Xenopus tropicalis: one gene and its partner. The protein of the gene in region 2 interacts with the protein of the main gene of each other region in a biochemical or structural test. Links are inferred from orthologs where the notes say so. Each region holds a gene or a part of one and is shown on either strand. Other genes may lie near its edges. The genes, in order: top2a and pias4.

The links.
Region 1: of the proteins of pias4 (region 2) and top2a, one has a biochemical effect on the other in vitro, tested with the Homo sapiens proteins (2 studies listed by BioGRID). The link is inferred for Xenopus tropicalis from reciprocal best matches to the Homo sapiens genes PIAS4 and TOP2A.

What each region holds. Positions count from the first base shown.
Region 1 is NC_030686.2:8,643,453-8,647,276, reverse strand, and holds part of top2a (DNA topoisomerase 2-alpha), read right to left. Parts: intron 444-3,824; coding exon 269-443; intron 1-268. UniProt on the Homo sapiens protein: Key decatenating enzyme that alters DNA topology by binding to two double-stranded DNA molecules, generating a double-stranded break in one of the strands, passing the intact strand through the broken strand, and religating the broken strand.
Region 2 is NC_030677.2:93,058,260-93,062,009, forward strand, and holds part of pias4 (E3 SUMO-protein ligase PIAS4), read right to left. Parts: coding exon 3,688-3,750; intron 3,077-3,687; coding exon 3,035-3,076; intron 2,446-3,034; coding exon 2,355-2,445; intron 2,243-2,354; coding exon 2,114-2,242; intron 1-2,113.

The DNA of each region.
Region 1 (3,824 bases), on a different chromosome or scaffold from region 2:
AATTCTGTTACTTTTTTTTTTAAGTTTTTAAATCACTCCCCTATAGATATTTCAGCCTCATTCAAGTTCCTAGCTGGTTGCCAGAGTAAAAGTGCATGTTGTCTGTATAATACTAACATTTAGAATCTACCAATTTCCATCAGGATGCCAGTAAGGTAGTTTCCAATCACATAGTTTTTTAGTAAGCAGCATTATATGCTGGAAACAAAATTGTCACCAAGAAATGGCTTAAGTTGATTTGTACCTAAAGGGAGGGGAGAGTACTCACTTGGGCGCAGCTCTGGGCTTTTTGGCTGGCTTTGCAACTACAAAGGATTCATCTTCTGAATCAGATTTTGGGTTGAAATCACTGAATTCACTGTCACTCTTCTCCTGAGGCATCTTTATGCCACTTCCCTCTTCTTCACCGTCTTCATCAGAGCTCAACATATAGTTCACTTTAGCTAAAAGCAAATAAAAGCATTTGTTATCAAGCAGAACCCTTTTATGTGGTAACACATTCCATAGCAGGCCTAGGCAACTATCAGTAAATGAATGAATGAATGATGAAACAATGAAGAGGCTCTAAAATCAAACAAAAAAACACCCAGCATCTTATTACCTGTGATAAGGAAATTTATGTACTTGCGGTTAAATCCTTTTCTCTCCAGTCTTAAAGGAACAGTAACACCAAAAAATGAAAGTGTATAAAAATAATTACGATATTATGTACTGTTGCCCTGTGTTGGTACAGCTGATGTGTTTGCCTCAGAAAGACTACTATAGTTTATATACAGAATGCTGCTGTGTAGCCATGGTGGCAGCCATTCAAAGGAGAAAAGGCACAGGCACATAGCAGATAACAGATAAAGTCCCATTATATTCTACAGAGCTTATCGGTTATCTGCTATGTAACCTGTGCCTTTTCTCCTTTTTTACAGGTTGAATGGCTGCCCCCATGGCCACACAGCAGCTTATTTATATAAGCTATATTACTGTTACTTTAGCAAATACACAACTTTACCTGTGCAGGGTAACTGTACATTATATTTTAAATACTTTAATACACTTTCATTTTTGGCGTTACTGTTCCTTTAAGGTGGCCATACACGAGCAGATCTGCTCGCTTGGCGATGTCGCCAAGCGAGCGGATCTTCCCCCGATATCCCCACCTACGGGTGGGCGATATCGGGGAGCATTTAGGTAAAAAAAAAAAAATCAGATAGTTTGGCCCTGGGGCCAAACGATCGGATTATGTGGGCGGCAATGGGGCAGTCGGATCGGGGACCGCATCAACGAGCCAATGCGGTCCCCGATCCGACCGGATTTTCTAACCTGGCCGATCGAGATCTGGCCAATTTCAGGCCAGATATCGGTCGGCCAGGCCGCTCTGCTCTCCCCATACACGGGCCGATTAGCTGCCGAATCGGTCCAAGGGACCGATATCGGCAGCTATAGTCGGCCCGTGTATGGGGACCTTTAAGGGGGACACAGGGGCCGTGGGGTAAAGGGCCCCTCCCATCAGGAGGCAGGACACTGAAGAACAGAGTTGAGGACCCTCCTCCTCCTCTCCCTTTATCCCCTCTCAACCCAGAAGGGATTCAGTTTGTAACAAAGAATTAACTCATAGCCGAACTACAACTCCCAACAAGACTGAGGATAACTAAAACAAGAGTTCAGGGAGGGAAGCACTGTGTCCCCCTTACGACTGGAGAGAAAAGGATTTAACCGTAAGTACATAAATTTCCTTTTCTCCCACGTCTAGGGGGACACAGGGACCGTGGGGACGTACCAAAGCCACCCCACATTAGGGAGGGAGAACTCTGCCCGTTTAGGAAACTACTGCCTGGAGCACCTTCCTTCCGAAGGCTGCCTCCGCCGACAGGTAAGTGTTGAATTGATAAAATCTGGTGAAAGTGTGAAGAGAGGACCAAGTAGCCGCTCTGCAAACTTGCTCAGTCGATGCAAGGTTCCGGTGTGCCCATGATGTTCCCAGAGCTCTAGTAGAGTGTGCTCTGATCTTGATTGGTGGTACCTTCCTCTGTGTCAGGTAGGCTCGTCTCACTGTCTCTTATCCATCGCGCTATAGTGAGTGGTTTTCGTGGCTGGGAGACCTTTTCTTGCTCCTGACGGAATCACAAACAGTGTATCTGTCTGTCTAAAAACTCGAGTGTGAGAGATCTATGTCTGACCACGTCCAGGCGATGTTAACTCTTCTCCTTGTCGTTCTTAGGACTACTGCAGAAGGAAGGCAAAACAATCTTGGTGTTTATGTGGAATGAGGATACCACCTTGGGCAGAAAATCGGGGGTTGTCCGAAGTACCGCCCTATCTTCATGTAGGATTAGAAATCATTCTGAGCAGGATAAAGCCCCCAGCTCTGGCACTCTTCTGGCGGAGGCTATGGCGACTAGAAAAACTGTTTTCCAAGTGAGGAATTCTACTCCCACTTCCATCAGTGGCTCAAAGAGGCTGTCAAGGAGGGCGTTCAGAACCAGGTTAAGATCCCACAGAGGTATAGGGTGTCTGAACGGAGGAGAAATGTGAGCCTGAAGGAACTTGCAAACATCCTCCGAAAGGGCTATGCGCTCCTGGAATAGGATTGATAGAGCCGAGACCTGCGTCTTTAGGGAGCCCAGACGGAATCCTTTCTGAAGGCCTGCCTGGAGGAATTGTAGGATTCGAGGAACACTGAATTCCATGAACGAGATCTCCTCATCCTCACACCACCGTCGGTAGCACTCCCACACCCGGTGATAGATCTTTGACATTACCGGCTTTCGGGCCCTAATCATGGTCATGATTACGTCTTCCGAAAATCCCTTCTCTCTCAGTACTGACGCCTCAAGAGCCATCCCGTTAAGACAAAGAGGTGGGGCTTGTGATGGAAGAGAGGAACCTGGGACAGAAGTTGTGGGAATACTGGAAGTTCTACTGGAGGTTCTAATGACATCTCTAGAAGACTGGAGTACCAGGATCTCCTGGGCCAACGTGGTACAACGAGAATTACCGTAGCCGGTACCGTTGCTATCTTCCTCAGTACGCGTGGTAACATTGGGGGGGGTGGGAACACATATGCCAGTCGAAATTGCCATGGGATGGTCATGGCGTCTACCCCTTCCGCCAGGGGATCGCGGTACCTCGCATAGAATCTGGGTACCCTTCGATTGTGCCTGGAGGCCATGAGGTCGATTTCTGGCACTCCCCATTTCTGTGTCAGGCAGAGAAAGCCGTCCTGGTGTAGTTGCCACTCTCCTGGATCCAGATGTCTGCTGAGAAAGTCGGCCTCTACGTTGCTCACTCCTGGAATGTGAATTGCGGATATTTGGGTGGCCGTCCTTTCCGCCCACTCTAGGATGAAGGTCACTTCCTGGTTTGCCCTGCTGCTTCTTGTGCCGCCCTGTCGATTTATATATGCCACTGCTGTGGCATTGTCCGACTGAATTCAAACTGCCTGGTTTCTCAGGAGATGTTCCCATGACTGGAGTGCCCGAAGTATGGCTCTTAATTCCACTATGTTTATTGGAAGACTGTTTTTTTCCCTTGTCCAAATTCCCTGTGCGGCTCTTCCCTGAAACGTTGCCCCCATCCGGTGAGGCTGGCGTCCGTGGTTACGATTAACCACGCTGGTTCCAGGAAGCTCCTTCCCTGTGTTAGCCGTTCTTGTGTTAGCCACCAGGTTAGCGAGCTCACAATGTTTTCTGGTAGGGTTATTCTCTAATGAAGGGTTGTCCTGTTTCAGAGTCTTAACACCGTCGTCTGGAGATGTCGGAGACGGAATTGGGCGAATGGGACTGCCTCCATGGTGGAGACCCTCAGTTCCAGGACTCTCATGCACATCTGGA
Region 2 (3,750 bases):
ACCAAATTCAGAATTTGATTCAGTATTTGGATTCAGCTGAATCCATGTGCCTGGCCAAGCCGAAACCTTTAAAATCAGGTGAATTTTTGACGCAAACATGATTCTCTTTAGCCTTTACACAACTTTATTTGCATATGCAAACGCTCATGGACCTGTGGTTTTCCAGATAAGGGGCCTTTCCGTAATTTTACACACTATACATTAAGCCAACTAAAAAAAACATTTAAACATTAAACAGGATTGTTTTACCTCTAATAAAGACTGAATTATAGCTTAGATCAAGTACAAGGTATTGTTTTATTATTACACACACAAAAAAAATCCTTTTAAAATTTTCAATTATTTGATTAAAGGAGAAGGAAAGTCATTTTGGCATTTTACTGCCAATAGATTTGCCACATAGAACCTAGAACACTATATTTATTCTGCAGAAAGCATTACTATACCTGAATAAACAGCTTTAGAAGCTTTCTCCCTTTGCTTAAGACAGCAGCTGCCATTTAAAGTAGCTTCCTTCCTGCAGTCTAGCCATTATAGTTCAGAACACACATTCCTAATGGAGGGGGGAGGGAGTGCTAGAGCATTCTGGTGGGAGGGGGGAGGAGAGTGAAGAAAGAAGAGAGCTGCTCAGACTATGGCCCTGGGAATTAAGGATGTTTCTGAGAGAGGAAGTCAGACACTGGAACATCATGTTTACAAAAAGAGAGACAAGAAATCCTGTGTTCCTTTTGATGCAGCATTATTGTAAGTTCTTAAGACTGTATTAACATAGACCTTTCTGATAAAGCTCACTTAGTTTTTACCTTTCCTTCTCCTTTAAAATGTGTATTGGAAATGGGCTTTCTGTATTTTGGAACTTTTTGGATAAAGGGTGTCCAGATAAAATATTGTAATGACAAGTTTCAAAAATTCAGTTATCTGGACACCCTTTATCCAAAGTGGGCTTGCAAACAGTTGAGGCAGGTGCCTAGTGCTTTTTTTTTTAAAGAAAATATTGTAATGACAAGTTTCAAAAATTCAGTTTAAAAAAAAAAAAAAAAAAAAGCACTAGGCACCTGCCTCAACTGTTTGCAAGCCCACTGGTTTGGGTAGACCAAGGTAGTCATGCTAGACAGAGAAGTTCTGGGTAGCCATGCAAGATGCTAAGACACATAAGGTGGCCAGGCAACAAGTAGTGCTGGGTGGGGTTGACCACTCAAGGCAACAAGAGGACTGGGATAAGGTGAGGCGAGGGGGATGAGCAGGGACAGCAGTCATCACTAAAAGGACTAGTAATTTGTCAAAAAGTGAATAAAAAATGTTTTTACATTCAAAAAGTTTGCATCTTTTGATCCAGAACCTACAAATTTCTTACATTTTTTTCTATAAGAAAGCTTTTTTCAGTCTTGAATAGCATCTGAACCACTTATCTTCCTGTGTAAGAACTAAATCTATTCTTCTTGTCCTTATCCTTGTATTCTACAGAGCTGATCAGGTATGCAAACTGTGCCTTTTCTCCTTTTTCAGCATTTAAATGGCTGTCCCTTTGGCTAGCTACACAGCAGTTTTTATATAAACTAAGGTACTCTTTCTGAAACATCTTTACCAGTGTATGGCAACAGTACATTATATTTTAATTGCTTTAAAACACTTTAGTGTTCCATTAACAGGATACAGGACAACAGAGAAAATTAGTTTTTACATTTGCCACATTAAACCAGAGATTCCCAGTGGAATCACTATGGCCATTATATTGTAGATTCAGTAGGTTCATTGCTTTCACACCCACAACTGTATTTTACCAAAAAAAGGTCACACATGCCTTTGAGGGGAATGTAGCATCTTCCCCTGCCAACACTATTGCTAAAGCAACCCTGACTGTAAGGTGGCCTTGGTCATCGGCAACTGCAGTCTCTGTAAATACCAACTTCAAGTAGATAGAAGTTCACTGGTTAAATAAGATCCCAATATCTTTAGGGTTTTTAGAAACGTCATTTTTTTGAAAATTAAATGTAGAAAAGAGAGGTATGTGTAGGTTATTATAAGAAAGATGCAGTATGAGTACAGTGCAATGTAAAGAAGAAAAATAAAAATCTAAGTAGTCAAAAGTGGTTCCAGACCCATAAATACTCACCTTGCCATAATTACCCCAAGTGACTGTGACTCGGTTGCTAGCAGATGAGAGATACATGAGGTTTGTTAGGTTAATGGGACGACATGGTCTTTTAGGTTCCACACCAGGTTTATTTGAAGGGTAGTATCCCTAAGATTTATAAAAAAAAAAAAAAGGGGGGGGGGCATAGCATCACTAATTGCACTTATTAGGATGGATGGATGTAATAAAAATTCAACAAAATTTACAGTTCTTAACTTACCGGAACAGAGCAGTAATTATGATTAACCTTCACAGCAACATTGGGAGGATATTGATCTTCCTGTGGACAGCTCGTGTCTGTGTAACAAATCCTGGTGTAGAAAAATAATTTACAATACGTTACCATTTATTTATCATAACTAAAAAACAAGTCTGAAGAAGGGCATCGTCAAGATGTGGTAAATACACCTTCTAGCAAAATATGAAAATACAGCACTGAACCTGAATGAGACCTTAATCCTCATGGTTTATGATAGAGATATTATACATATAGAAATAGCCAAGAGCCATGCATTTCCTGCTGTAAATTATATCCTTATAAACAGTGCTTAGTGATGTAATTTCGGTCACATGACTCACTAACTCTTGCTTTTATATGGTGATATTTTACAGTAGAGGGGACATTATTCACTATATAAAACCATCTAGACCGTGATCCCCAACCAGTGGCTCATGAGCAACATGTTACTCACCAACCCCCTGGATGTTGCTCTCAGTGCCCCCAAACCAAGAAGTTATTTTTGAATTCCTGGCTTGGTGGCAAGTTTTCGTTGAATAAAAACGATTTACTACTAAAAAGATTTACTACCAAATAAAGCCTCCTGTAAGCCAAGTGACTTTGCCTTTCCTTCTCCTTCAAGTCTAAAATTTAGTTTTTAGGTATATGCTCCGGTGCCTTACCTTAGAACAACTTGAACAGATTTGGTTCCAGGGTGCAAATCCCTAGAAGGGAGAAACGCAGACAATGTCAGATGCAAAATAAATAATATAATGGTTAGACAGATTTGTATGATTTTTGATAAGGTGGAAAAACAATATACTGAAGTGTAGTCATACACAATTATTTACAGATATCACTGCTCACTGGACATCTACTTGGATGAATGTATGCAGTGTTGCTATAACTTCTCTTCGTTAAAAACATTTAACATTCTAAAAAAAACTGTTTACATTAATATTTTACATTTCAGAAACAATGTATATGGGGTGCAATTTATTAGATAGCGCCTTAGTGGGTAGCCTGCTAGGCCTGGCAGGCACTCTTAAAAACAAAAAAAAAAAAAAGTTTTCCGATTTTGAATGCACGTTGTCCTACCGGCGATTTACAGGAGATTAGTTGCCACTGCTAGAGCAGATTAATAGTGGGGTGACGACTTATCTCCTTGTGCGTCCCTGGCCTTAAGAATTTTAACTTAACCGGTTGGTGAGGCTTAACTAACTAACCCTAGTCACTACTGCAGCGTGACTAATTTTCTCGTGTTTCACTGGTCTAAGGAAAAAAAAAAATGTAAAAAAAAAAAGGTGGACTACATCTTTATAAAGAATGCCATTACCTGGAGTTCTTGATCAAGTCCACTTGCCTTGGGGACAGGACGAAAACACATGGACTGTCTTGC